4 linked regions of the Cricetulus griseus genome follow. Each later gene encodes a partner of the first gene's protein in a complex. Links are inferred from orthologs where the notes say so. Each region holds a gene or a part of one and is shown on either strand. Other genes may lie near its edges. The genes, in order: Med12, Med16, Med13l and Cdk8.

Region 1 (7,013 bases):
GGTTTGATCCAACCTAGGGACCATATGGTAGAAGATGAGAACCAATTCCTGCACGTTTTTCCTCTGGCCTCCAAATGTGCAGCATGGCATGCACACGTGATTGCACACAAAAGAAAACAAATACATAGAAAACAGAAATGAAATGTAAAAAAAATGTTTTAAGAGTAGAATCTGGGACAAGAAAGTTGGAAGTTGCTTGACCTGAAGTCTCCTCTACCTGCCCTCCCCCTCCTCATGGCTTTAGCATGTCCCTGTTGAGCCAGCAGCCTTTCTTATCACTGGTGCTGACATGTCTGAAAGGGCAGGATGAGCAACGCGAGGGACTCCTCGCCTCTCTCCACAGCCAGGTGCACCAGGTATGGGTGTCTGGGCCATGGAGATGGCCTCAGGGTGGGGAAGGATGTACCTAAGAGGCCACTACATGCTTGGACCCTTCATTATTTTCTGATAAAAACATTTGATGACTTGGACTAGAAAGGAGAAGATCCCTGAGCACGTGTTAAACTTGTTTCTATCCTAGATTGTGATCAATTGGCGAGAAAACCAGTACTTAGATGATTGCAAACCAAAGCAACTAATGCATGAGGCACTCAAACTGCGGCTCAACCTGGTAAGGGGGAATCTGGCATGAAGGAAGAAGGGATGGGCCTGGAAATACAGTTAGGAAGCCCCAGGTTGGGGAAGACAGGATTGAGAATGGAGGCCCTAGGTTCTTTGAGGTCTTCCAATATTAACCCTGCTTTCTCAAGGGATACGGGACCTTTTAAAATGGTTAGAGGAACTGAACCCCTGTAGCCAGGATCCAATAGACTGAATACCCTGTGTGCTTCAGGCACGCTGCTTCAGTATTGGACATTCTGGCTGAGCCCTAGAAATACTAGAAACCTATTTTAGAATGGTGAATGGAATTATGGAATTTGTTTAGTACAAGTCCCATCTCTTTATAAGTAATGAAACAGATCCTGATATATCAAATTCAGCCACTGACCCAAGACTGAATAGTAAATCCTAAGTACAAATGATGAGACATGGCCTCAGGGGTCTCTGCTCCCACCCAACCAGGTTCGAACCTAAGCTTTTCTCAAACACTTATCACCTTGCACCATCTAACTGATTTGTGGTTCTGGCAGGTGGGAGGCATGTTTGACACAGTGCAGCGTAGTACCCAGCAGACTACAGAGTGGGCCCAGCTTCTCCTGGAGATCATTATCAGCGGCACTGTGGACATGCAGTCTAACAAGTGAGCATTCTCAACCCTGCAGGCCATTTTCCTGGAGTCCCTACCACATAACAGCTGCAGGAACCAGTGACTCCATGCCCTGAGTTCCCCACACAGTCTCACACCCCTTAGGATAACATCATGAGTATCCCTTCCTGCCTGTTTTTTCTTAACCTCTTGCTTCTCTGGTTTTCTCCATACCTGCCACAGTGAGCTTTTCACAACTGTGTTGGACATGCTGAGTGTGCTTATCAATGGAACATTGGCTGCAGACATGTCTAGTATCTCTCAGGGCAGCATGGAGGAAAACAAACGTGCATATATGAACTTGGTGAAGAAGCTTCAGGTGAGCAAGGGAGTCAAGAACAAGATTGGGGTGCTGGAGACTCAACTCTGCCTGTGTTTACTGTGTGGCCTGGGAGCTGGGAGTGGGGAGTGAGATGACTGGTTTTGGTCTGAGCCCTCTTCCTCCCCATTTCCTGTCTGTTCTTTTTTGTCTGTGCAATGCAGATTTACTAAATGCCTTTTTTAAAATTTACTCTTTGTTTGTTTGGTTTGAGACAGGATCTCATTTGGTAACACAGGTTGTCCTGTAAGGGATATGTCACTACATAGCCCATACTGCACTTGAACCCATAGCAATCCTCCTGCCTCAGCCTCATGAGTGCTGAGATTATCTTTGTTTTTTTTTTGTTGTTGTTGTTGTTTTTGAGATGGGTGGCTCTTTATATAGCCGAGGCTGGCCCTCAAACTGAAAATACTCTTGCCTCAGCCTCCCAAGTGCTGGGATTATAGCTGTGCACCACCATGCCCAGCTCTTAGTGTCTTTATACATACTATGTTCTCTGCTACCCTTGAGACTTCCTACTTCTCTTGTTCTGTATCTTTGAACTCATGGCCTATCTTCTTGTTCCTGCAGAAGGACTTGGGGGAGCGCCAGTCTGACAGTCTGGAAAAGGTTCATCAACTGTTGCCACTACCCAAGCAGAACCGAGATGTCATTACCTGTGAGCCACAGGGCTCCCTTATCGACACCAAAGGCAACAAGATTGCCGGCTTCGATTCCATCTTCAAGAAGGAGGCATGTTCTGTTGTCTTGCCATGCCCTCTACCCCCTAGCACCCCATTTTCATTTCTGATCTCACAATTCCAGCTAACACACTGAGTTCAGGAGCCCATTAGGCTCTCCTCAATAAAACCTACAGACCACCTGGGCTTTAAGCAAATCACTTAGGTTTCCTTGCACTTTATCTCCCCTTCTTTTGTAATCTCACCCTTTTCTTGAAAACTGCTCTACCTCCACCTATCTCTTCCTGACCCTCTCCCACTTTCCCTCCCCTCTGCCCCACCTCTTTTCTTGTCCTCTTACCGCTCTGCTGACCCCTGCCTCTTTTCCTCATGTCTCTCTACTTGCCCAACTCTACTTCCCTTTTTTCATGTTGGCTTCAATATTTGGATTAAAAACATTATATGTGCATATGTATGCCACTTATGTGTACAGATGCCCATGGAGGTCAGAAGTTGGATTCCCTAGAGCTGGAGTTATAAGTGATTGTGAGCCGCCTGATGTGGATTCCAGAAAAATAATAATAATAAAAAAACCTAGGTCCTATGCAAGAGCAGCAAGGGCTCTTAACCATTGGTCTATCTCTCCAGCCCTTAGTTTCAGTATTTTCTTGATTAAATGTATTACTCTGCATAGAAGAGGGAGAAAAGGGAATACAGAGTTTCAAATGCAAAGTGAAACCCCTTTGTGTATACACTCTCTTGATTCCTTTCTGCATCAGTGTGTCTCTCTCTCCCTCCTGCCCTCCCTGTTTCTCTACCCCTACTCCTCTGTCTTTCTCTTCTCTTTCTCTGCCATCTTTAGTTTTTCCTTGCCTCTCCTCTCCTTCCCCTCCCTTCCCCCTCCTCCCCCTCTTCTCCCCCACCTCCCTCTTATCCCCCTCCCCTCCCTTCCCTTCCCTTCCCTTCACTCTCCCTCTTCTCCTCCTCTCCTCTCCCCTCCCCTCCCCTCCTCTCCTCCTCTTCCCTCTTCCTCTCCTTTCCCCTTTCTGCTCCTCCCTCCCCAATGGTTTCTTTGTGTCCCTCACATTTTCTGTCAGCCTCTCCCCTCCCCAGCACCTCTGTTTCCCTGTCTGCTCCTTCAGTACCTCTTTCTGTCCTGGCGTTACCTTTCCCCTTCACGCCTTTCTCCTGCAATTCAACTCTGTGCCAGCAAAAATGGTCTTTCCTGCATATGTCTGTGTCAGTGTTTGTCTTTCCTCTTCTCATCATGTCCCCTGATCTACTTAAAAGTCTTTCCTTGTTTGAAAACTTGTCAACAGATATTTTACTCTTTCTATAAGTTCTCAAGTCCTGCCTCCTGTTTCCAAGGCTCAACAGCTCATTGTTTTCTCATTTTCTGGAGCAGGGTCTACAAGTTTCCACCAAACAAAAGATCTCCCCCTGGGATCTTTTTGAGGGCTTGAAGCCATCAACAGCACCACTCTCCTGGGCCTGGTTTGGCACAGTCCGAGTGGACCGCCGAGTGGCACGAGGGGAGGAGCAGCAACGGCTGCTTCTCTACCACACACACCTGAGGCCTCGGCCCAGAGCCTACTACCTGGAACCACTACCACTGCCCCCAGAAGATGAGGAGCCACCAGCCCCTGCCCTACTAGAGCCTGAGAAAAAGGCTCCTGAGCCCCCCAAGACTGACAAACAGGGGGCTGCTCCTCCCAGCACTGAGGAGCGCAAGAAGAAGTCCACCAAGGGCAAAAAACGCAGCCAGCCAGCCACCAAGTCGGAGGCTAGTCCCCCATCCCTACCTACCCCCTTCCTAATTTTGTGTGGTAGGGAGCTAAAGTTCCTGGTTTAAGGGAGGTATGGGGTACATGGGGAAGGGGTGCCATTAGAATCGTGATAATAATGTATCAGTGCCACTCCTGCTTACACCCTTCTCCCTCCTTCTCCTACCTCCCGACCCCCAACTGCTGTAACCTTTGTCCTCTGCACCCATGCAGGACTATGGCATGGGCCCAGGTCGGAGTGGCCCCTATGGTGTGACAGTACCTCCAGACCTTCTGCACCATGCAAATCCTGGTTCCATATCCCACCTTAACTATAGGCAGAACTCCCTAGGCCTGTACACCCAGAATCAACCACTACCTGCTGGTAAGTGCTAGTCACTACGAATGGTGGAGTTGAACATTCCTCCCTCTCCAGGGGAGATGTGGATGGCTGGAACTGTATTTTTTAACAGGCTGAAGGGATGAGGATCTCAGAGAGGTCAATTTGCTCTCCTTTCCAGGTGGCCCTCGTGTGGACCCCTACCGCCCTGTGCGATTACCAATGCAGAAGCTGCCAACTAGACCAACTTATCCTGGTGTGCTGCCCACAACTATGACTACTGTCATGGGCCTTGAACCCTCATCTTATAAGACCTCTGTGTACCGGCAGCAGCAACCCACAGTGCCCCAGGGACAGCGCCTTCGCCAACAGCTCCAGGCAAAGATAGTGAGAGGGGCAGTAGGGAGGACTGTCAGGGAGAGGGATTTTGGTGGGTCACAGGACTGAGGAGATACTTGGGAACTTCACAAGAACATGCAGGGTAGAAGGTATAAAAGAGACATGACAGAAAGCATTTCCTGAATTTGACTTCTCCTTTTTCCCTTTAGCAGAGTCAGGGGATGTTGGGACAGTCATCTGTCCATCAGATGACTCCTAGTTCTTCCTATGGTTTGCAGACTTCCCAGGTAAGTGCCTAAGACTATGAACATAAGGGAGAGGGGAGCAAGCTGCTTTACACACTCATGCCCCAGCTCTGTCTCGCATCCTTCTCTCCAGGGCTATACTTCTTATGTATCACATGTGGGATTGCAGCAACACACAGGCCCTGCAGGTACCATGGTGCCCCCCAGCTACTCCAGCCAACCTTATCAGAGCACCCACCCTTCTACCAATCCTACTCTTGTAGATCCTACCCGCCACCTGCAACAGCGGCCCAGTGGCTATGTGCATCAGCAGGCCCCAACGTATGGGCATGGACTGACTTCCACTCAAAGGTATCCAAAGTTAGTGGTGAACTGGGAAGGGACACTGAGATATAAGCAAGCATCTGATTTGGGAAATCCCATACTAGAGGTAATAGATGAGCCTGAACTTTGGGAGACATCAGGAATACTACTTTTGTCCCATCACCATTACCACAAACAACCTGAGTTGGAACGGACCCTGGAAACCAATAGTCTCACATTTACAACCCTGGTACTTCTTGAGGACCAGAGAGAAGAAACAAATACAGCTAACTTTGATAAGAAGGGATCTAGGGTTTTTAGACATAGTAAAGAATAAGAAGTCCTAAATCTGGTATTAAATAGTCAACTCTAGGGCTGAGGATATGGTTTACTTGATAGCATGCTTACCTAGCATGCATGAAGTCCCAAATTTAATCCCAAGCAACACATAAATCCTGGCATGTTATTACACACCTGCAATACCAGCACTCTAGAGAAAGATCAGAAGTTCAAGATCATCCTTGGCTACATAATGAGTTTGAGGCCAACCAGAGCTACATGAGACCCTTGTCTCAAGGGAAGAAAAAGCACTTGAACTCTAGAATGGAGTAACAAATAAATTTCATAATTAATTCTAGTCAAATCTTAGTTAAGACTTGGGTAACTGTCATGAGGCTCTGCAACTTAGGATTCAGAATACTCTAGAGTGGGCTGATTAATTGCCTGCTGTGTAGCCAACGTTATGTTAGGACTAGAGTGAGGAAAGAGTGAAAAAAAACATACAAGGTTCCTCACCACAAAGATTTTTTTACCCTAGTTGAGAAGTAGAGGTCTTATACAGAAGAAGAAGAAGATACCATGCAGAAGAATGTTTAGAGAATGGTATGAACAAAGACATGATCAAGTGTTCAGTTGGGTGCCAACAAACAAAATGGGACTTGAGAAAAGATGGGCTACTGGCAATGTAGATCAGAGTCACTAGGGAAAGATTCACGGATTCAAGCTGACCATTAAGGATAGCTATGATTGGGATTTGTAGAGAAGGGGAAAAGGAAGGGCATTCCAGGTAAAGACAACAGCATGAGCAAAAACATGGGACTGGATTGAGTGTCTAGAGACAGAAAGGAGCAGATCTTAAATCTTAAATGTAGTGTGAATCTTGAGCTAGGGAAGGAGCAGGGGCTAAGTTAGAGGGGACAAGCTGACATATGACATTGAACAGTGAGATATAGCATTGAGAGACAACCCCAGAAAGGACTGCTTTGCTCAAGAGAGTGATAGGAGGAGCTTGGCATGGTAAGAGATCACTGTGGAAAGAGTGGACAGAGTGTAGGGGAAGGTGGGAGAAGACGAGCGAGGGAGCCCAGCTGCAGATTGTCAGGGATGGGCAGACTTGGGTAGAACAGGCATATGGAGTAGCAGAAAAACTGGGGGTGTTTCTGGGGCACAACAGCAACCACAAAACCCTTGATAGGTGTTTATAGACTGCTTATCGTGTGCAGACTGTTTTTCATAAGAGAAAAATAGCTGAAACAGAATCGAAAAATTCCTAAGCATTAAGGTTATGAGACAGTAAAATGGAGTATTGTCTTTGTGTTTTATTCCCTGACCTAGAATTCTGTCAGACTCCAGAAGGGCTCCTCTAGTTAGTGCCAAGAGGAATGAATACAATGACTTGTTAGTTGCTTTCAGGTCAGGGACCCAGGGTTTGTACCACCCCCTTTCTCTGCCCTGTGCTTTGACCCCTGGACCTCTTGTCTTTGGAGGTTTTCACACCAAACACTGCAGCAGACACC
Region 2 (7,598 bases), on another chromosome or scaffold:
GTGTGGGCCGGATGGGGGGTGGGGCCTTGAGTCTGTGAGGCTCCTTGGTCACCTTAGTGGGTACAGGGACCAGTGGGTTCCCTAGTGGATGTGCCCAGGCTCCGTGTGTGTGTGTGTGTGTGTGTGTGTGTGTGTGTGTGTGTGTGTGTGTGTGTGTGTGTGTGTGTGATGTGGGTGGGGCCTCCCAGGGTGAGGTCAGCCTGGGAGACAGGGCCTGAGCTCTCCTTACCCCCCCCCCCCACAGAGGACCCAGCTTTTACACCTCATGAGTGCTTCAGGCGTATCAGCCGTCGCCTGCGGTCCGTGCTCAAGCGCAGCCGCATCCCGATGGTGAGTGGCCCCATCTTCCTCTCAACCTGGCCTTTCCATGTCACCATTCTGACTTGGTGAAGAGGTGGCAGGAGCCATCCTGGTGGTGTGGTTAGGAGGAGGAGGATTGGCTCAGTGCAAGTGGGTACTGCAGAATTTGACAGACAAAAGACAGGGCCAGATCTGTGATGCTTAAGTGCCTGACACCCTTGAAGACAGCTAGGGCACGTCCTGTGGATTTTGTGACCCCCCTCAGCTCTTCCCACTCCCACAGGAAACCCTGGAGAGTTGGGAGGAGCGTCTGCTGGCGTTCTTCTCCGTGTCTCCCCAGGCTGTGTACACCGCCATGCTGGACAACAGGTACAGGAGCTGGGGAGAGGAGGGTGCTCTCCTTCCCCACTCTGGCTCAGTGGCTCATGTCCCTTCCTCTACAGCTTTGAGAGGCTGCTGCTTCACGCCGTCTGCCAGTACATGGATCTCATTTCAGCCAGTGAGTGCCTGCTCCCACTGCCCCTTCACCCATTCCTCCTGAGGAATCGGGGGCCATGGGGCCCAGCCCCAGAAACGGATGTGTTGTGTGGGTTCATAGCAGAGCCATGGCTGTGGGGCTCTGGTAGTTATTTAACTCATGAAGAGTGTGCTCTGGTGTCCAGTGGGCAGATACCCTCCATCCACAGCTCCAGGGAAGAGGAACCAAGGTGAGGCTGGTAAGGCCTGCAGTTGAGGGTCTATCCCAGACCTGGAGAGGAGACAACAGGTTCCCAAATCCACAGGCCTTTGTCTTCCATTTTCTTGTGTATGCAATGCTGCCTCCTTCCAGGGATGGTTGTCAGCAACCTTGGTAGCTCCAGGTACCCCATCTGGTCCTTCCCTTTCTTTCTACCTGTCTCTGCCTCCTGCTTGGAGTTGCTGTGGTGACAGTTTCCATGGCAGCCCGGGGAATTGGTTCCTCTGGTTTCCCTCTGTGGTAGAATGAAGCGGCCTCCACACCTGGCTCTTCTCAGGGACTTGAGAATGGAGAGGGCTTAGTGTGGGGCAAGCTTCTCTGTAGGGACTGTAGGACTGGACGGAGCGGGTGCCCCTGGACAGGGGAGTCACAGCTAGCCTCACACCCCTCCAACCACCCAGTTTCTTTTGTTGGTCTTGGGTGCTTGGGTATAGCCTAGGCTAGCCTCCAGTGCATCCCATGAATAGCCATATGCACAGGTTTCTGTGCATGCGGTCCTGAACCTCCTGCCTGCATGGCTTCACCTGCGCTAGGGGAGCCCTCTGGCCCAGCTCCTGCAGTCCTCCTCACATTGTTTGTCCACAGGTGCTGACCTGGAGGGCCGGAGGCAGATGAAGGTCAGCAACCGTCACCTGGACTTCCTGCCTCCAGAGCTACTATTGTCTGCCTACCTGGATCAGCAATGATGGTGGAGCCCCTACCTGCTGACTCGCCCTGCCGAGACCTCCAATGTCTGCTAATTTCTTGCATACTTTCAGAATCAGAACACCCCCACTTCTCTTCGGGAGTCCCCCTTGCCCCTACCCCTTCATGGCCCAGCTTGCACAGGGCAGCCTCGTAGCCCCCTGCTCTGGTACTTGTGTTTGGGTGGGGAGACCTGAGCTACGCTTTTTCATGCTTATTCTCTGTTTAGCTTTTCTTTGGCTGAAGTCTGAAGCTCAGGCAAAGTGACCAGACTCTTTTACCCCTGCACTCCACCCCCCCATCAGTTTTGGCATGTTTGGGATAGGTTTGCTTTAATTTCTCCTCTGAAGCGTTGAGGCACAACTAAAACACCTAGTGCCAGCTGGTAGTGGGTTCTGTTGTGACCCCTGCCTGACCCCTCCAGGTTTCAGCTCTGATGGAGGTGTCTGGTCCTCTCTAGGACTCAGCTGATCTCCCCAGGGCACTTTGTCTTGTGTGTGTGTGTGTGTGTGTGTGTGTGTGTGTGTGTGTACATGCCATGGGCCTGGTGAACCTGGACAAGCTTCATCTCAAGGGCTGATTTTATGCTTTTTTGTGATGTGTGTTTCGTGTCCCCGACTCCCTGGGCTCTGCCTGCCCTTCAGATCCTCCTCCTGTTAACACTTATACCTGGGTCCAGGACTTCCAGCCAGAAGCCTCTGACCTTGTGTGTTGTCCTCCTCCCTGTCCCCTCTGCCACCCAGCATAGCTGTGGTCACTGCAGAGGCTCCATGGGCCCGCCTCCTCCCCTTTTGTGTGGTTCTTTGTGCTTGGGGGAAAGGGACACTTTTAATAAAGCCTTGGTGCTCAGGCCTTGACTGTTTGTGTCTTGGGGTTTGGTGGGGAAGTAACAGGTCACCGAGGGCTGGGGGCCGGAAATCTGGACACACAGGGCAAAGTGCAGTCTTGATTCTTTAGTTCATTTTAAAATGTGTAAAATACTTAAAGGTGGGATGCCAGGCTGTGGCTCAGTGGGTAGAGTGACTGATTTCGTAGCATGCTCAATTCCATTCCCAGCACCATATACCCTGAGTTTGAGTCTAACTTGGGCTACATGTCTTTTGGGACAGGGTTTCTCTGTGTAGCTCTGGCAGTTCTGGAACCTTCTCTATAGACCAGGCTGGCCTCAAACTCAAGAGATCTGCCTGCTTCACCCTCCCGAGTGCTGGCACTAAAGGTCCAACAACAGACCTCTGCGTCTCATGTAGCCCAGGCTAGCCTCAAACTCACAGTGTCAGATCCTGTCACACAAAAGTAAAAACAAAAATCCCAAATTTAAATAACAATAAATAACAGCTGAACTCATGACTTGATGGTGCACAGCTGTTCTGGAGGCTGAAAGAAGAATCTTAACCTCAACAGTGTGAGGCCAACCTGAACTACATAGCCCGTGTCTCAAAAAGCAAAGGGGAAAATTTAGTTAAGTCACTTACGTGGGGACTAATTTCGCCATCAGTGAATATGCGGAAGATAAGCTATACATAAACTAATTTCAGAAGAGAGATGTAGGAGTATGCTTTGGTGTTTCTGAGGGTGGGCAAAATATGGAACGCTTCACGAATTTGCGTGTCATCCTTGCGCAGGGGCCATGCTAATCTTCTCTGTATCGTTCCAATTTTAGTATATGTGCTGCCGAAGCGAGCACAAACAGCTGCTTTGTCCAGGCAGTATTTATAGGCTCTAAATTCAAGCCCTTTATCGTTAGGGTGAGTACAGTTTCCTTACGAAAGTTTTAGTACTTCTCTCCTGTCTTTTACAGAAGACCAAACCTATAATGTAAGATATAGCTAGTGATCAGAAATGACAGATTACTTGTCTTTTTTCGTACATACAGCTGCAATGGTTACTAGGAATTATTGTATGCAAATTAGCCGAGTAGAGGGTGGAGCCTGGGTTCTCCCAGAAGTCTGTGCGAGGGGCCGGCACGAGCGGAGAGATGGCGGCCCCGGATCCCGGGCGTTGGGGCGAATGTGGATCGCGGCAGCCCGGCCGACTGGGCGCTCGGAGCGGACAGGTCAGTGCCAGGATGCGGAACGCGTGACCGGCACAATCCGGGCGAGGACCACGAGCGGAAGGCCGAGGGGCGGAACTTGCGGGGTCAGAGGGCGGGCCGGGGAGCAAAGCTTCCTGGGTAGCGGACTGGGTGGAAGGGGCGTGGTCAGGACCGGTGCTTGAGGAGAAGCCTGAGGCGACTAGGCCGGGGAGGGGGCGTGGCCTGAGGATGGGACTGTCTGAGGGGGCGTGGCCTGAGGCAAAAGTTGAGCTGAGAGGCGGAGCCTGAGGAAATGAAGCTGCTAGAGAGGGGCGTGGCCTAGGGAGCAGAGTCTGAAAGAGTGGGGCGTGGCCTGAGGATCTGGGACTGATGGAGAAGGGGTCCTTGGCCTGATAACCCGTAAGAAGAGGGGCCTGAAGCTGGTAGTTGGCTTGGGGGCGGAGCCTAGGGCCTTAGAAGGTGTGTGTGGAGCTTAAAGCCCGTGGTGGGGCCTGGTTGAGGCACATGGGTATGTGTGTTAAGTCTCAGGATTTAGGTCTTGGGCGAAGCTTTGGGGGCGGGGCGTGGGACTGAACTTGGAGTGGGTGCGGCCTGTTTGTGGAGGGTGCTTAGTGCTTGGAGGCTGAGCTTAGGCTGAGGTCTGGGTGGGTGATTAGGTGGTATGGAGGGTGCTTTAGGCTCCAAGGGCTGGAGAACTCTCTAGAGCCACTTTAGCCAGGACCTCGCTGTTCCGCAGGAGCCAGGGACTGTGCTGGGTGCTGTGGGCATAATGGAACTGGTCTACGTGTGCGAGTGGGAGAACTGGGCCAAGAACACGTACTGCCCGTCGCTGCCCCTGGCCTGCGCCTGGTCCTGCAGGAACCTCATCGCCTTCACCACGGACCTCCGAAATGATGACCAGGGTGAGTGTCGGTCCATAGAGGTGGACTGTGCCGGGTTTGGATCCACCCTACCTCAGATTTCCAGACACAGTGTGTCCCGGTTTGAAAGGCTCATGGTGGCAGAGCCAGGCTCCCTGTTGCCAGGGAAAGCAGTCATATACCAGTCACTGTCCTCCGACTCTAATGTTGGTTATGGCTGCACTGGATAACCCTCCCCGGGGGATAAGTGGCATGGAGGGGCACTCAGGGAGAGGGGAAATGGGCGTGGGAATCCTGGGACACTGTGAGCCACACCGACCTCACCTGTTCTCCTTCCATCGCAGACCTGACACATATGATCCATATCCTAGACACCGAACATCCCTGGGAAGTGCACTCTGTCAACTCTGGCCACAGCGAGGCCATCACCTGCCTGGAATGGGACCAGTCAGGTGATGCCACGAAGTTCACTCTCATTCCAGAGCCCTGAGCAGCATGGGCTGCCTTCTTCAGTTCTCAGTCCTAAATCCAGAGTCACTGGGAGTCCAGAGTGTGGGGGCAGGGGGTGGCAGTCAACCTGCCCCTCAGGAGGGTTCCTGATGGCACTCTGTCACCACAGGCTCACGGCTCCTGTCAGCCGATGCTGACGGGCATATCAAATGTTGGAGCATGGCTGACCACTTGGCCAACAGCTGGGAGAGCTCAGTGGGAAGCCAGGTGGAGGGGGACTCCATCGTGGCGCTGTCCTGGCTGCACAACGGCGTGAAACTGGCCCTGCACGTGGAGAAGGTGAGGGGACTTACGTGTGGCGGAGTTGTGAGTGACCAACCTGTCTCTCCCTTGCCGCTGCCAGAATTCTCTGTCATGTGCCAGGCCTGTTTGCGTGGGATACCTGTCAGTAACTGCCATCCGTGAGCTCCTGTCCCCAAGAACATGCTTAACTACAGCTATTGTCCCCCTGAGCCTCCCCTTTCAGTGATGGGATGATGGTCCCTATAGAGTGACCCTGTTCCACAGGCAGCTGCATCCAATGGTGTCCTGTTTTACAGATGACTGCTATGTGGTCTTCAGACCCCACTCTACTGTGATTTAATGACGACCACAATTCCCCTATCCATGTGTATTCTGGAGTTCAACCAGTGAGGAGTGAGCACCAACAGACATCTGAGATGTCTGTTTCCTCGGAGGTAGATGCCTTTGAGGAAGGGGGCATGGCCAGGTCCTTGGGGACCAGCAGCTTCCACACACCTGCTGAGACCACGCCTACATGTGGCCACTCACCAGCTCCCACATCATGACATGGAGACCAATTAGTTATGAATGCTCTGCCTTAGCTTAGGCTTGTCCCACTAGCTTTTTTTGTTTGTTTGTTTTCTGGACAGGGTTTCTCTGTGGCTTTGGAGCCTATCCTGGAACTCGCTCTGTAGACCAGGCTGGTCTCCAACTCACAGAGATCTGCCTGCCTCTGCACCACACCACCACCACCATCTGGCTCCCACTAGCTTTTTTTTTTTTTTTAAGATTTTTATTTATTTATTATGCATACAACATTCTGCTTTCATGTATATCTGCACACCGGAAGAGGGCACCAGATCTCATAAGGGATGGTTGTGAGCCACCATGTGGTTGCTGGGAATTGAACTCAGGACCTCTGGAAGAGTAGTTGGTGCTCTTAACCTCTGAGCCATCTCTCCAGCCCTCCCACTAGCTCTTATAACTTATTTTAACCTGTTTCTCTTCATCTGTGTTTTGCCTCAGGGCTTTTTACATTTCTTTCATTCTGTATGTCCTACTTTTCTTGCTTCTCCTGTGTCTGGCTGGCCAACCCCAGGCATCTTTCTCTCTCTCTCTCTCTCTTTCTCTCTCTCTCTCTCTCTCTCTCTCTCTCTCTCTCATTTATTTATTTATTGGTTTTTCGAGACAGGGTTTCTCTGTGCAGCTTTGGAGCCTATCCTGGCACTCGCTCTGTAGACCATTCTGGCCTCGAACTCACAGAGATCCACCTGCCTCTGCCTCCTGAGTGCCGGGATTAAAGGTGTGCGCCACCAAAGCCCGGCTTATCGTCTCCTTCCTTTTCTCCCGAGTTCTCTCTTGTTCTTCCTTTTCCTCCTTATTGTCTCTGCCCACCAGCCCCACCTAGCCCTCTACTGTCTAGCAATTGACTATTTCAGCTTCTTATTCCGACAAATCAGCAGCCTTAGGCAGGCAATGCAAAACAAATGTAACACATCTTCACATAGTTAAACAAATGCAGCATAAACAAATGTAACACATTTTTATATAGTTAAAAAAAAAAGGCCGGACCTGGTGGCATTTACCAATCCCGGCACTGAGGAGGCAAATAGCTCTGAGCTTAAGGTCAGCCTGGTCTACATAGCCAGTCCCTGTCTAACCAGGACTAAACAGTGACACTTTGCCTCCCAAATTTAATGTAGGGCCTGGAGAGGTTGCTCAGTGGTTAGAGCACCGGCTGCCTCTGCCCTCTGCAGAGGACCTGGGTTACATCCCAGCATTCATATGCTGGCTCACAACCACGTGTAACTCCAGCTTCAAGGGATCCAACCCCTTCTTCTGACCTCCACAGACTTCTCACCCATGAGATGCACATATATACCTCCAGAGAAACCACTCAAACACTTTCCAGTTTTTTGAGACAGGCTTCCTCATTGTAGCCCTGGCTGTTCTGGAAATCACTCTGTAGACCAGGCTGGCCTCAAACTCAGAGAGGTTACAACAGAAAGTGAAGAACCAAGTTTAACCCCCTGAGAAGTACACGGCTTGTGCATTACTGTGCGCTAGAGAGGCCTCCTTCATGCAGTGCTCTTGCCGAATTGTTGCTCGGTGCTTGTGGGGCCATAGAAGGTGGACCCCAAGGAGCTGAGCAAACCCTTCCTTCTGTTTCCCTTTCCTGCAGTCGGGTGCTTCCAGCTTTGGGGAGAAGTTCTCCCGTGTGAAATTCTCTCCTTCACTCACGCTGTTTGGTGGC
Region 3 (7,013 bases), on another chromosome or scaffold:
TGACTTTAATACTCCATTAGTCCAAGGCATTTGGAGACTAGGCTAACGCTGAGCTCTGGCTTCTCCACTAACCTGAAGCAGTGACCTGGACACATGTGTAAACTATACACTGGGTGGATCTCCACACTGCCAAGGCTGCTGCCAGCAAGGCTAGGACTGTACAAGAGAAATCAAGTGGGCACAGGCCACCGATTCCTCACAGACAGTCACGTGCTGCAGGGAGTTCCTCAACTCAGAACACTGCACAGGCTGAGCAACATCTGTGCCCATCTGCTTCTTATTAAAAGCCTTATAAAAATCTAAGATGATGCAAAATGCTAAGAAAAAAATTATCAAACCTTTCTTGGGGAGGCTGGGATGGACAGCATGCACCTGCAGTTTCTCAGCCCTCCAACCTCCCCTGCCGTCCAAAACCAAGCAAAGCTGCAGGCAGGAGCACCACTGAGAGTCTAGCACACCAGAAGACTAACTTTCTAATGAAGAGGTGTACTAGGAATGTCAGAATGTTGCTTTCCAAACCCCTGCTTTCCAAAATGGGCTAGAAGGCAGTGGCCCACAGAGATCTCAACCTCTGGGGAGAGAGGTGTGTGTAGTCAAAGCATGGCGGTTGGTGGTGATGACTTTCCTGAGGTTTGGGGTGGTTCTCAACAACCTCCTTCCTATAGTCCTTACCCGACTGTGCTGGAAGTGAGAGCCCACACCGATTCCAGAGGGAGAGCCTGGGGACGGAACCGGGGAGGAGTTGGGAGAGGAATGGAGGTTCCCAGTCATTAAGATGCCAATGTCATTGTCCATATCGTCTGGGAATGGAAGGTCTACAAACATATCATCTAGAGGGGAGAAAAACACAGGAAAATTAAGAAGTAACCATATTCCACTTTAGTATATCATGCTCTGCTAATCTTCACCTGCTACAGGGACGGTGTAGATACCTAACAGGCATTTATTGCATACAAGTGCTACAAGCTGTCCTTTCGTTTTCTCTCCAGTGACCTGCTAACTAAATAAAAATACAATGGAGAAAGCCCCCAACTCCTTAGAGCTCTAAACACAAATAAAAAGATGAAAGACAGTTCAAGGGGCAGCTCGAATGTTGCAAGGTCAATGTGGGCACTATCCAGCAACAAGCAGACTCCAGCTAAACAGGTAGGAGCCAGTCCTGACATGGGAGGAGCCCATTCCAAAGCAGATCAAAGCACTGTTCCTTGGGGGATGCTCTCCCTCTCACACTTCAAAACCAGGGTGCACTCATGGGAAATTTGGAAGAGAAAAGTGGAGGTAAACTATCACCAAATACCTAGATGCCATGGACACTTGTCATGAGCCCTTCCATTCCCACAGAATTGAGACTTCAGTGAAGCTGACATAGTCACATTTTAGTATCTTTTCCCCTCCCTATTAAACATGAATACTGGTAGGTAATTAAAATCCAAGAACATCACAAAAAATGAGCATTTTACAAAAATATGATCATCTTTCAATCCCATAAAGGTATTCCAACAGAATTCCATTAAGAATGATCAGATACGGAGCTAGTCTCCGGTAAACTGCATCTCTACAGTGAGCTAGGAAGGTTGCATCTTCACACGGCCATGCCCTCCACACTCAAGCAGACAGAGAGCAGTTCACCCAGGTGGTCCTGAGACTCTGCATCTCCTCTCTGTGGTTTCTAGGACACCTCTACAACATCCAACAGCCTGCAGCATCCACCACCCCACACTTTCTACCTACTACTGTGCCTTCCACTCACCATTGTTGGGACTAAAGCCATCTTCATTGGGGTAGTTGGCTGGAGCCACTTGGATGGTTGATGATGTCGGGAACACCAAGATGTGGGTGCAGGAAGCATCCTGAGGTGTGTTCAGCTGAGACGACTGCATATTCAGCGCAGTGCTTCGGCCAAACACGGAGCCCATTGTGACGGCATCTTTCAAGAGCAGGGTGTGTCAGTGTGCCCTGCATACCACATCCCCAGAAGGAGGCTCTCCCCTGATACAAAGTCTCAGGGACAGGCATTCAAGGCTGCCCCAGTTCCTTAAGTGTCCTTAAAGAACCCGATGGAGAACACCAGTGATGATGGCCTGACCTTCACACCAGAAATGTGAAGTTAAACCTGATGCAGTCCACCAAATATTTTGTAGATTACTTATCTAAGATGTAAACTAAAACCCTAATACTGACCTCTCAGCATTGTTTCCAACTTTGAACTCACAATTTATAAAAGCACCGTTGTACGTGACAGCAGTTAACACTCTAACTAACCCTATACTCAAAACTTATCACATACTGGTCTGTCCTAAGCTCCATTCACATGTCTCACTGCTCAGCACACCCACCCTGAGGTCACAGCAATTGTCTCTACTTCATAAATGAGGGCAGAAACATCTAAAAGTCATGTAAACTTTCCCAGTTACTGATGGCAACCAAGGTGAGCTGAAGTAAAAGAAGCATGGTCCAGCCACTGTCCTGTACTGAAGCCTATCCTCGGTCACTCTCCTGACTTCCTGTTATCTGAAGTGTAAAGCAGACCTAACCGTGTAGAAGTGCTTAGGGGCAGTCAGCAAATAGCTGTTGCTCCCCACAAGCCAGCTGCATTTCTAAAGCTCACTGAGCTAACCTATGTCCAACCTTGTGTTAAGTGCTCTTCTCTTTTCTTTATTATTCATTCTCAGCTACAGCACTGGGAACCACACTGGGGTCTAGAAGCTTTTTGGAGGGTAAAATCCTAGGATGCCAAGAGACTAGGGTTAGACAACACTCACTAGCTGTGGATTTACCTGTTTTCACTCATATCCAGACTTAAGCTGTGGTCAACAATAATTAAGTCCTCCCTAGGAAGGTATCAGATGGTCCCATTTTCTAGGTCTAAATCAAGCATCTCTTAGAGATGAAATACTTATGCATTACATTGGACTGATAAAATACCTAATTGATGTTAACTGACAAGAGACAATTTACCTGGCATCACTACAAAGGACCCCTGGGGCTCCATGGCAACCAGACAGGCACTAAGGATAGAAGGAGAGTCTGCAGCGGAGATCCCACACATCCGGCACACATCCTTGAGCTGTTTGCTGATTGTCTGTAGCGAACATTCTCCAAGGAGGATACTCCAGTCTGAAGTCAGAGATCACAGACACAGTCTTTAGGGGTTCATATGGTATTTTAGATGTTTGTCAATTCTGCTTGGAAATGTCACTGGTGTGACCCTGTCCTAAAGGGAGTGGGGCTTTCCACTTAGTCCTTTATTTCCTGGCTTCTACTTCACTGTATTAATGCAGAAACAAAGGCCTGCTCTTTATAGGCTGCCATCTTGTCTAGAGTGTCCTTTGAGGGCCCGCAACAGACCCTGGAAGATTCAAGTTCTAAAATGCCTTGAATGCTAAGGTCTCTGCTGGCTGGGCTAGCCTGTGCTAGCCATTCTTTTTTCAGGGTCTGATTCTTTCACTACCCCACCAGCACTTCCCTCTGATACTTGCTCACTGCCCCTAAACAGAAGGGCACTGTGTCTAAGCACTGCTGAGTCCTGGTCTATGTAGCTTCTGCTCTCAGTGCTCTCACTGAGTTCCTGATGCTCAACGCAGGCATCTCTAAAGTCATGCAATTCTCCCTCCCAGGGAAGTGCAGGGCAGTGTGCTTTATATTTCTAATGAAATTCACACTGAAGTGGGAGAGGGAAAAGTGGCTGAGAACATGAAGAAAATGTCTTATAATGGCAGGATATCAGACAGACCTGAGTGTCACAATGCATCAGGAAGACAGTCCTCTTTCTGACAAGACTGGCAGCTAAACAGCAGACACCAAGGCTACCTGGAAGCTGAGGCCTCTGTTTGCCCTCACTCAAACCATGGCTCCCAAAGGAGGAGCCCAGGTCAGCAGGGAAGTGACTATGTGCTCCTCCAGCCATACTCAGGCTCTCCCCTTAAGGGGCAAGGAAGGAGAGTACACCCCTTCCCACAGTCATGCACCGAAAGGGCCTGAATCATTTTCTGAAACACCAAGCAACAGACAACACGTTCACCCCCTGCTTCTTTTCTATTATTCCCTCCCCTTCCCAAGGGTTATGAATAGCTGAAAGCCTTTAAGAAAGAAGATTGACTATGAAGCAGACCAGGGAGGAAGAGAGGCAATCTGACAGAAATGAAGGGCGGAATCCCCTAGTGTATTAACCTCCTGGCTACTGATAGCAGACTGCTTCTAAGAGAAGTGCTGTTTAAAAAATGAAAAGGCCCCATTTTCTCCCAGTCCACAACATCAAGTGTGACTAGAAGACAGCTCCCCCAATTCCCCCACCCCTGGTCTGGCACGCACTGCAGTGTGTGTACACACATGCCTGTGAGTCTGAAACTTTGAGTGCTGATCTGCCTTCTTATAGCAGCAGCTTGCACATGGGCTCTGTCTCTCTCAAAGATTTAATCCCAGGGATTTCCACAGTACCTGGCTGCGCTTCCTGTAGTCAAATAGTGCACACACTCTAACACAGGAGCTGGTGTGAACTACGTACAGTCTGGGGCCAAATCCTGCCTACCACCTGTTTTTGTAAATAGAATTCTGTTCACAGACAGCCATTCATGTAGGTATTGTCTTATGGTTGTTCACACTGGCAGAACTGCAGAGCCTCAAAGTGATCACTTGCTTTGCAAAATGAAATTATACTCTTGGCCCTTAACAAGGACACTGCCCACTCTACTAACCACAGGCTACTTTTCAATGTATGTCTTCTTCTTTAATTAATTCTATGTCCAAGCAGTCATACTGGTAAGACTTTAATCTACAAAACAATTCCTGCACCTAAGGCTCAGGGAACACTGTGGAAAGGGGTGACTGTATGAGTCAGAGGCCTGGGGAGTCTTCTGTGAGACTGTCTCCTAGTGATGTCAGAAGCTGCACCCACACATAAGGAATCTGTTGGAGGTCCAACTTGGGCCCTCACGCTTACAGCAAGCATCTTACACACTGAGCCATCTCTCCAGCCCTGAAGGCTATTCTTACATATGACTTTAACAGTCTCCTATACTCTGATAGACTTACTCTGTTTACTGTCTTAATATGTAATACTATGAAATTAAACTACCATTTCATACTAATGAAACATGTTTCCTGTTTTACATTTTGAATATTATTGTGTAAGTGATGGGGGCTACAGAGAAGCTTTTAAACCCTGGTTTCTCCCTTTATATAAAACAATCATTGTCATCAAGGTTGGTCTTTGGGGCAACTTTAAGGCCCTGCATGCTCAGCTGCCATCATCAGTTCAGTCACCTCTGTCCCTGCACCTGCTTCAGGGACTGCTCACCTTTAAGCTCCCCATGGCCAAGACGCCCCAAGCGGCCGATGACGACTCTCCAGGGCAGAGATGTCATCTGGACAATCCCCAGGCACCATTCCCATAACTTCTGCAGCCCAATCTTACGCGCGGACACTTTACTCTTCCGTGACCTGACAGAGACAGAAACAGGAAGGGTCCTACACGAATCAGCTGTCACTTGGTAAGACACACAGTCCATTTCTAAAGCACACATCCATGCCATCCCCACAGAGTTAACAGAAGTGAACACAACAGCAAGGGTTCTCACCTGCTTGGTAAAGCAATGTTTACAACACAGGTCTCCAGTAATTCCCCATGGAGGTCAGTGCAGGATGCCAAAAGCCAGCGCTGGTCATGAGACAGACAATAGCCCACAAAGAGTACATTGTATTTCTGGCTCGCCTCACCAAAAGTCTCTCCTGGTTCTGTCTGCTTGTCTTTGATTGGGGCCAATATAAAGGGAGGGGAATAAAGCTGGATTGGGCTGGGCCGCTGAAATAAGAATCAAGTTCAGTATCAGCACAAGGCCAATCAAGACATCATTTACAATAAAACCCAGAGCAACGACGAGGAAGAAAACAAGGAATAATGACAACAGGAGGCTCCCGCCATTCCCTCTCCAGGACTAAATATACAGTTAGCAATGACAACACAGACAGCAAAAGTGTTGTTAGAATTCAACAACTATGGGGCCCTGTGGCTTAGCTGTTTAAAACACCTATCTAGTAAATGCTATAAGCCACCAATGTTTGATTAAAAGAAACTACTATATTAGAAAGTAAGCTTGCCCAATGTCAATAGGCACTAGGAAAGCAGAAACTGAAACCACAGTAAGATCCATTATACACAGCCCCAGGAAGGTCTGCAGTCACAGGCATCAAACTTCAGGGATTGGCAAGATGCAGAGTCATGGCTCTAGGCAGGGAGGTAGGAGAGGTGCTGCGGTTCATATTACAGCAGAAGATGGCTCTCTGCAGAGATCTCTGCCTCCAAAACTCACCTCCGGATTCTTGAGGGTCATCTCAATGCTGGCTGCAGGTCCAAAGCCCGTGAGGGACTTAATGTGGATCTGTGTAGGCAACGGGCGCCTGCACTGGCAGTACACTGAAAATGCCATGGACTTCAAGTATTGAATGTAGAAAACATGTTCATCCTTCATTGTCTGCAGCATGTACTGGCAAGGCACAATCTACAAGATGCAAGCAACAGTCAGTTCAAAACACCACAAAGCAGACAGCTACAAAATGAGAAGTGGTGGGTTTATGGCTAGAGGGACCCCCTTAACTCTGCCACATGCAGATGTCAAATATAATTATACCCTAATTCATCCCAGTGAAATAAACACTGTTCCTCAAATGTCCATCAGCCAATTGAGAAGGCTAATATCAGTAAGCCAGTCTCCTTGAGAACTGTCCCACTCCACTGAGGGCATAAATCCTCAACCTCCTATCCCACCCCCCTCATCCTTTAACCCTGCATCTTAAGGTAAGCTCCATGTGTAGAATATCTGACATAGCATGCTGCAGTAGTATCTAATCGCATGGGACTCAGACTTTGAGATAATGACAAACCATCAACAATCTGTTCTGTTCACTTTAACTTCAGTCCCTGCATTCTACAAGACAACTTCCAATAAAATGATAACGAACCATTTCCATCGCACAAAACGCTTAAAAATCACTTCATTTCGGAACTAGCAAAGGTG
Region 4 (7,666 bases), on another chromosome or scaffold:
GTTAAGAGCACTGACTGCTCTTCCAGAGGTCCTGAGTTCAATTCCCAGCAACCACATGGTGGCTCACAACCATCTGTTATGAGATCTGGTGCCCTCTTCTGGTGTGCAGATATACATGAAGCAGAATGTTGTATACATATTAAATAAATAAAATCTTAAAAAAACATTATTATACAATATTACAATGTGACTCCTATTGAACTTTCTCCCTTTTTACTATAAAATAAGTAAGGTTTGATTATGTAAATAAAATTTTAAAAATTAAAAGTACCTTATACTTACAAAATCCTTGGAATCCTGAGTTCTCAGAAGTCTGACCTCATTTTTGTACATAAACAACCTTCCCCAACTTCCATATAATTTTATTAAAAGGGAATTTTATTTTATTTATTTATTTTTTGGATTTTTTGTCTTAATTTTTTATTTAAATTCTTTGATTATTACTCATATTTACATATCCATCCCCCCCATTCCCTCGCCCTCCCATCCTCCCATGTTCCCCCCACCCCCACTCCTCCCCAGGGATAGTGAGGCCCTCCACCAAGGACCTTCAAAGTCTGTCATATTGTTTGGGGGGACTCCTTGCTGTATCTGGGCTGCAATAGTATCCCTCCATAGGGGAATTTTAGTTACTATTATATTATTACCCAATTTCATCTGTAATGTAATTTTTCCACTTACTTCACAAAATTGAAGTTTGCTCCAATACACTGGATAACTGGGCATATCAAATTGTTACCCATAAATAAAAGAGTAGCTTAGATATTAAGACCAATCTCTCCTAAATTAGAACTAACCCTTTTCTCTCTAAATTTATTTATTTATTGGGTTTTTTGAGGCAGGTTTTCTCTGTGTAGCCCTGGCTGCCCTGGACTCTCAATAGACCAGCCTGGCCTTGAACTCACAAAGATCCACCTGCCTCTGCCTCCAAGTGCTGGGATCAAAGGCGTACGCCACCACTGCCTGGCAAACTAATCACTCTTTATGAGGTTATATTTATAAAATAAAATTGACTTTAAAAATCCACTAAAATTAAAAGGTAATACTTTAAAATTTTCTAAACATCCAATGAAATATTTCATAGAGTAAAAAGCAACATAGACTCAAGGGAAACATGACCAACTGGTTTAAAATTACAGGGTTTGGTTGGTTTGAATAAAAAGACCTGATTTCCTCTGTCTCTCTGTTGTATTTACATATTTGGGTCACATTGCATTTTGTTTAGTTTGTTTGAGACAGGGTTGCTCTGAGTAGCCCTAGCTGTCCTGGAACTCACTCCATAGACCAGGCTGGCCTCAAACTCACAAAGATAACCTGCCTCTGCCTCCCAAGTGCTGAGACTAAAGGTGTGTGCTACCACTGCCCAGCTTATACTGCGTTCTTAATTATTGTTTTAAAAAATATTTGTTTTTCATTTTATATATTAGTGTTTTGCCTGCATGTATGTAAGTGCACCATGTTTGTCAGTTCCAGAAGTGGGTCCTGGAACCCTAGAATTGGAGTACAAACAGTTATGATACTCCATGTGGGTCCTGGGAACTATACCTGGGTCCTCTGTAAAACCAGTAAGTGCTCCTAACCACTGAGCTACGGCTCCGGTCCCATTCTGGATTATTTCAATTGTAGGTGGAATATCCCTATTGTGTTTTACATATGTCAGATGTGGAGGTGGGAGGGGAAAATTAGATTTGGATAATTATAATTAATAGATGTAACTTGATTTTATCCAGGTGGGTTTTGTTATTGTTGTTTCCTTAATGTCTTTACTAGCTACTTGTCTCTCCTGAACCCTGCCTTTCTTGCCTATTCATCCTCACCCTTATGAGATTCTAGAGACAAACCTTCCTCACAGTGTGCAACATATTAGGCTTCCACAACACAAAGGTGTGATGCTTGGCCAACAGGGGGAGCTGTGAACCGAAGCCCCGCCCCCCCCAATCTGCATCTTCGTTTTGATTAAATCTTTCTAGGATACACAAGCAGACCATTAACTCCCACCAATCCAAAAGCTAAGAATTAGCCTTTAGAGGACGTGTAAGACCATTAGCAGATGCATTCTTGCCTTCTATCACCAACGTCCTGGATGTTTCCACCAATGTGTGTATACGTGTTCTTTGTACAGGTGTAAGCATACATGTCTGGAGGCTAGAGGTTGATGTCTGTCATGGAACCTTGAGCGCACCATTTCAGTTAAGACTAGCTGGCCATCCTGCTACAGAGATCCCGCCTTTTCTGCCTGCCTAGCATTAGTATTACAGGCATACATATACATGTATGGCTTAAAAACAAACAAACAAAAAAGGTGCTTTAGTTTCTTGATGATTGACTAACCTGTAAGTTGGTATAAATCATTTTCTCCCCAAGTTGTGTGCAGACAGGGTGTTTATCGCAGTAACAGAAATCAAACGACAACATGTGTCAAGCTTTTTGTCATCTACCATTACCCCCCAGCCCCCTTCACTGTTTTGTTCTCTTGGTATAAAATTGTCATTAAACTGTTAACAAGTTGGAATTTATGGTAACTTAAATTTATGTTTCTAAGCCGTCGCCACTCATATTTGGCTCCACAATAAACTCTTATTGTCTTCGAGGTGATAACTGGGTTGTTTTTTGTTTTTGTTTTTTGTCAACAGACTTAAATGAAAACTAGGGTTCAATCTTCAGTGCAGTGAAAATAGCTTTACCTGACTGGAAGTATAATGGTACGCTTGCCTAGCAAGTACAAACCCCGAGAACTTCATGAAATATACAGTCAGGTGAAGGAAGACAAGCCATGAATACAATTACGTAGTTTATTTGTAGTATTAAAACCTGGAGGCTTGGGGGGGGAAGCAGCCATAATGCCGTTTAAATCCTGAAGTTCAGAAGTGACTCCAATACAAAATAACCCCCTCGCTAAACAGTGTCTTTTGCTAAGCTTATATGGGTTAATTTAGATTGCAGAGATAACGCTTTGGGGGAAAAATAATCTCCATGCAACCGAAATTCGTTGCGTGATGGACTACCAATACCATCATGCATCGCTCTGAATTCGCGGCGTCGAGGAAGAGGCGGCTACAGCAGGCACCCGGGCATTCTGAGCCTTGTAGTTTCTGGCCGGGCTACCGACTGGGTTGGTCCACGTGGTGGTGAGTCTGTCAGCAGCTCCGCACTGCCGCCGAGCGAGGCCCTTTCGCGTACCGGCGTCAGAAGGGGTGGCTGCCACCTCCTGAGCCACTCGCAGATGGGGCGGAGTCAGCGCGAGGCTTCGCGACCTTTTTTACGACAGCGTCTGCCGGGTTCCGTGCCCGCCCGCCCTCCTTCCCTCCCTCCCTCCCTCCCTCCCTTCTCCTCCTCCTCCTCCTCCTCCTCCTCCTCCTCCTCTCGGAGAAGCTACCGGCTGTTGTGTGGCGTCGCTGGTCTGTCGGGGCTGATGGCACCCTGAGTGTGCGTGAGCGCGTGTGGGAGAAGGTGAGGCTCGGACGCGCGTGGGCGAGGAGCAGAGCCAGCCGTGGCCGCCCCGCGCCCGCAGCAGCACGCGCGGCCAACCGCGCGCGAGAGCCGGCGCCCCGGGAGCGCGGGACAAGGGCGGACGCTGCTCCCCGCCCCCAGCGCGTCCCTCGGCTGTCTCGCGCCCGCGGGGACCGCCCGGCGCTCCCCTGGATGTCCCCGGCGCCCGCGCGGGGCCTCCTGCCGTCGCCGCGTGAGGCGGGCTGGTGCTGCGGCCGGCGGGTGTAGCTCGGGGGCTGCGGCTGCCGCGCGGCCCGGTCTCCACCGCGGCCCTCGGCCCCCCACCCCAGCACCCCGGCCTCGGAGGCTGTGACAATGGACTATGACTTTAAAGTGAAGCTGAGCAGCGAACGGGAGCGGGTCGAGGACCTGTTTGAATACGAGGGCTGCAAAGTTGGTCGAGGCACTTACGGGCACGTCTACAAGGCGAAGAGGAAAGATGGGTGAGTGTGGGTGTCGCTGCGGGAGTCCCCGAGGCTGAGAGGCAGGTGGCCAGCCAGGGTGCCACTACTTCTGCCTCTGTCCCGGTCAGCCTGCTTTGGGGAGGAAGTGGTGTCCCAGGAATCCAAATACACAAGAAACCCTGCGTGCAAGAGGGAGAAGGACCGTCTGTCTCATGGGCAGTGTTCCTTTTTTTTTTTTTTTTTGTGGATTTCAGTACAGTGTTTTTGTTTTTGTTGTTGTTTTTTTAATCGTTATAAAATGCCAGTTCGAATGTGTTTTTCTTTGGTCGATTTATCACGGTAACCTTTTGGGGACTAACTCACCCGCCTCTGGAGTGATGTCTATCAGTCTGGAAGAGAAGCCGAGATCTTTTTCTCTTATCAATTGTGAACAGTTGACCAAATTTGGATTTGATGGGGGAAAGAAGACAGCGAGTGAGTGTGGGACTGGAGAGTTCCATGGAGGATCATCTGTAATGTAAAGTAGCAGTTGCTATTCAGGTATCATTAGCTGTGAGGTTTTATATAGAACAATGGGGATTTGGTGCAGAGTGGATGGGGGGGGGAAGCAAGTGACAGATAATCGGGGCTATGTTGTGCAAGCTCTTTAACCAGAATTTATCAGCTGCCAGTGAACTTTAAATAATCTTTCCTGCTTCAAAAATTCTCCCCTAGAAACAAGAAATAAACCTATGACTGGTAATGCTCTTAATTTTGCTTCTTAACAGTAAATAGAAGCTCTCATTTTTTCCTTTGTCAGTAGATGACTGCATTGTAGTATTAACAAAAGGGAAAGTAATTGTTAGTTGGGGAGAAAATCTTTATTAATTTCCCGTTTTCTCTTGTACAAATAGGTATTATTTCTGTTGCCTTTGACACTAGGAAATTATTGGAAAGATTGTCATAGCTTATTATATAATCTTTGGGGTTTATTGGAAACAGCTTTCCTTGAGCATCCCTTGTTTGACTAGTTGCTATTTTACTATTTAGAAGACTTTTTTTTTTTTCATATTCACAGGCGTGCATATTCAGAACTGCTTTAGCACTACAAAGTGAAACCTTAAAGTTGCGGGGAGTTCTTTCCAAGGGAGCTTGTTTATAAATACTTTAGTAGTCTGGATAATGGAAAAGGAAGTGTCAGTTTATTAAACACTTCTCCTTATTAAGCCTTCTTATAATGTATTTCAGTGCTTTTGTGCAAAAATGAAACCACGAAGATATGGGCAGAAGGTAGTGGTGGAAAACTTGGTGTTCTGGGTGCTGTGTGGCTTTAAATGGATAGCAGTGAGTGGCATCCAGAGCCCTTGCTGCTGATTCTTGTCTGACTAGATTTGTTTTGTCAACATTTTATTAATGAATTATATTTAAAGAAATCATCTGAATTTGCAGCAAAGTTTTCTACAGAGGGTTAAAGCATCTTCCATCCCTCAGTATCACATAGTTTGAAACATGGTCATAACATCTCCACTCCCAAGACATTTGATATGGTGTAGTACATTGTCCAATCTGTTGTGTTTTTAAGAATGCTAGTGATTTTTGTGGCCCTGTGAAAGGAGCCAATTCTGGCTTCATACATTGCCAAGTTAGGCTAATAAAATATCCAGATGTGTTTGATTGTGGGTTTTTTAAGTATATGATGTATATGCAGGGGTTACTTTATCTTTTACATCTTGATGGTAAGTTTTCATCTAGGATGTTAAGATTAATTTCAGAAGAAATTACATATCTTAAAAATAGCTGATGTTAAGCACTCAGGAGACAGAGGCACTCAGATCTCTATGAGAGATCTATGTCCTGGTCGCTAGTTCCAGGACAGCCTCCAAAGCCACAGAGAAATCCTGTCTCAAAAACAACAACAACAAAAAATAGCTGGTGTTAGTGTGTATTTCTTAATCACTTATGGTAATTGCAATTGAATATTTGCATTTGGTTTTTTTTTTAAGCTTTTATGTTTTGGGTTTGTTTTCCAGCAGCCTTGAATGATTCTGTTTATTGTGATGGACTTTGGTAATTTTTGTAGTGAATCAAATGCCATGGGAGTTTTAGAATTAAAACAGCTGTGATTGTAGACCACTGACCAGGCTAACCTTGAAATCAGAGATCCATTTGCCTCTGCTTCTTGTGGTGGCACTTGAGACACCATGGTACTTGGTCTCACAAAAGTATTCTTAATCTGAGCTGGGCCGTGGTGGTGCATGCCTTTAATCCCAGCACTCAGGAGGCAGAGGCAGGTGGATCTCTGAGTTGAGGCTGGCCTGGTCTACAAAGCTACACAGAGAAACCCTGTCTCGAGACACCCCCCCCCAAAAAAAAAAAAAACCAATCAATCCTATTATCCTCAGTTCATATATGAGGAAACTAAGCCGTTGAAAGTTAAGCAGATTTGTCCTGTGAGTAGCAATGTCAGTTAGGACCTGAGAATGTCCTTGCGGTGTATATACTCTGGAGCACATCCCATGTCTGCCCCCTCCCCCCCCAAAAAAAAAAGGATTTCTCTGTGTAACAGCTCTGGAACTTGGTTTGTAGACCAAGCTGGCTTGGAACTCACAGAGTTCCTGCCTGCCTGTGTCTCCTGAGTCCTGGGACTAAAGGCATGGGCTAAAATGGAGCCCATGCCCTTAACCACTTTATTTCATATAATTAGCTTGAAGACTCCGGACAGCATCCCTGTCTGCCACTGATACCTTAGATACAATTGAATCTGCTAGTTGATATGGCCCAAGATGACCTGGAACTCACTCTGTATGTAGCTCGGACTGGCCTTGAACTTAAGCAGTCCTCCTACTTCAGCCTCTTGTGCTTTTTAATTTTATTTTGTGTATATGAATGAGCACCACATATATGATTGATTGAAGTCATGGATGGTTGTGAATCATTATGTGTGTGCTGGGGGTCAAACCCAGGTCCTCTGCAAGAGCAACAAGTAACCTTAACCTCTGAATTTTTCTGCATCCTGAGAAATTGGGCAACTCCCAAAGATGCAAAAGCTACCCAACATTCGTTTTGTCACCTTGGTGTTGGGTTAGTTAGTACCTGCTCCCATGGTTGTCTGTTGTTGGGGAGTCAGCACAAGGGACTCTAGATTCAATGTTTATTGTAGTTTTGAGTCTTTGGATAGTTTGGATGTGCATTAATGAGTGTTCCTTACAACCTTTTAAAAAAAAGTGATGGGGCTGGGCAGTGGTGGCACATGCCTTTAATCCCAGCACTGGGAGGCAGAGACAAGCGGATCTCTGTGAGTTCGAGACCAGCCTGGTCTACAAGAGCTAGTTCCAGGACAGCCTCCAAAGCCACAGAGAAACCCTGTGGAGGGGGGGGAGTGATGGGAGCCAGGCAATGGTGGCATACACAGAAGCAGGCAGATCTCTGTGAGTTCCATGCTAGCCTGTTCTACAGAGCAAGTTCTTGGACAGCCTCCAAAGCTACACAGAGTTTCTATCTTGGAGAGGGGGTTAAAAAGAAAGAAAAAAAAGAGTGATGGGAAGGGACAAGAGTAATATTTATGGTGCATGTCTTACCCACATGGCATCGATTAGTACATTTTTAGCTCCTGTTTTGAGTCATTTTCCAGGTTTAATTCTTTTTTGTTTGTTTGTTTTGTTTTTTGTTTTTCGAGACAGGACAGCTGTGTAGCTTTGGAGCCTATCCTGGCACTCGCTCTGGAGACCAGGCTGGCCTCGAACTCACAGAGATCTGCCTGCCTCTGCCTCCCGAGTGCTGGGATTAAAGTCGTT

The links.
Region 2: Med12 (region 1) and Med16 share a complex: the UniProt entries of both Homo sapiens proteins name them as parts of the mediator complex. The link is inferred for Cricetulus griseus from reciprocal best matches to the Homo sapiens genes MED12 and MED16.
Region 3: Med12 (region 1) and Med13l share a complex: the UniProt entries of both Homo sapiens proteins name them as parts of the mediator complex. The link is inferred for Cricetulus griseus from reciprocal best matches to the Homo sapiens genes MED12 and MED13L.
Region 4: the proteins of Med12 (region 1) and Cdk8 are in contact, whole or in part, in a cryo-EM structure (PDB 8TQ2), measured with the Homo sapiens proteins. The link is inferred for Cricetulus griseus from reciprocal best matches to the Homo sapiens genes MED12 and CDK8. Residues at the interface, in NP_005111.2 of Homo sapiens: Pro26, Gln27, Gln31, Glu33, Asp34, Leu36, Asn40, Val41, Lys42, Gln43, Gly44, Phe45, Asn47; in NP_001251.1 of Homo sapiens: His143, Ala144, Trp146, Phe180, Asn181, Ser182, Pro183, Pro186, Ala208, Arg209, His210, Thr212, Lys213, Met273, Pro274, Pro320.

Annotation. Positions count from the first base shown.
Region 1 is NC_048604.1:68,957,219-68,964,231, reverse strand, and holds part of Med12 (mediator of RNA polymerase II transcription subunit 12), read left to right. Parts: intron 1-244; coding exon 245-356; intron 357-520; coding exon 521-610; intron 611-1,130; coding exon 1,131-1,240; intron 1,241-1,429; coding exon 1,430-1,565; intron 1,566-2,138; coding exon 2,139-2,300; intron 2,301-3,632; coding exon 3,633-4,010; intron 4,011-4,224; coding exon 4,225-4,375; intron 4,376-4,511; coding exon 4,512-4,717; intron 4,718-4,878; coding exon 4,879-4,956; intron 4,957-5,047; coding exon 5,048-5,265; intron 5,266-6,034; coding exon of another isoform or gene 6,035-6,038; exon of another isoform or gene 6,039-6,966; intron 6,967-6,983; coding exon 6,984-7,013. UniProt on the Homo sapiens protein: Component of the Mediator complex, a coactivator involved in the regulated transcription of nearly all RNA polymerase II-dependent genes.
Region 2 is NC_048598.1:100,703,542-100,711,139, reverse strand, and holds the start of Med16 (mediator of RNA polymerase II transcription subunit 16), read left to right. Parts: upstream 1-3,622; 5' UTR 3,623-3,695; coding exon 3,696-3,773; intron 3,774-4,005; exon of another isoform or gene 4,006-4,151; intron 4,152-4,488; coding exon 4,489-4,654; intron 4,655-4,956; coding exon 4,957-5,064; intron 5,065-5,231; coding exon 5,232-5,401; intron 5,402-7,526; coding exon 7,527-7,598. Other genes in the region: R3hdm4 (R3H domain-containing protein 4), read left to right, coding at 245-330, 584-669, 744-799, 1,622-1,722. UniProt on the Homo sapiens protein: Component of the Mediator complex, a coactivator involved in the regulated transcription of nearly all RNA polymerase II-dependent genes.
Region 3 is NC_048597.1:98,632,484-98,639,496, reverse strand, and holds part of Med13l (mediator of RNA polymerase II transcription subunit 13-like), read right to left. Parts: intron 6,498-7,013; coding exon 6,309-6,497; intron 5,801-6,308; coding exon 5,577-5,800; intron 5,467-5,576; coding exon 5,297-5,466; intron 3,118-5,296; coding exon 2,959-3,117; intron 2,087-2,958; coding exon of another isoform or gene 2,046-2,086; exon of another isoform or gene 2,045-2,045; coding exon of another isoform or gene 1,947-2,044; exon of another isoform or gene 1,928-1,946; coding exon 1,751-1,927; intron 831-1,750; coding exon 673-830; intron 1-672. UniProt on the Homo sapiens protein: Component of the Mediator complex, a coactivator involved in the regulated transcription of nearly all RNA polymerase II-dependent genes.
Region 4 is NC_048597.1:82,145,414-82,153,079, forward strand, and holds the start of Cdk8 (cyclin-dependent kinase 8), read left to right. Parts: upstream 1-3,658; 5' UTR 3,659-3,804; coding exon 3,805-3,932; intron 3,933-7,666.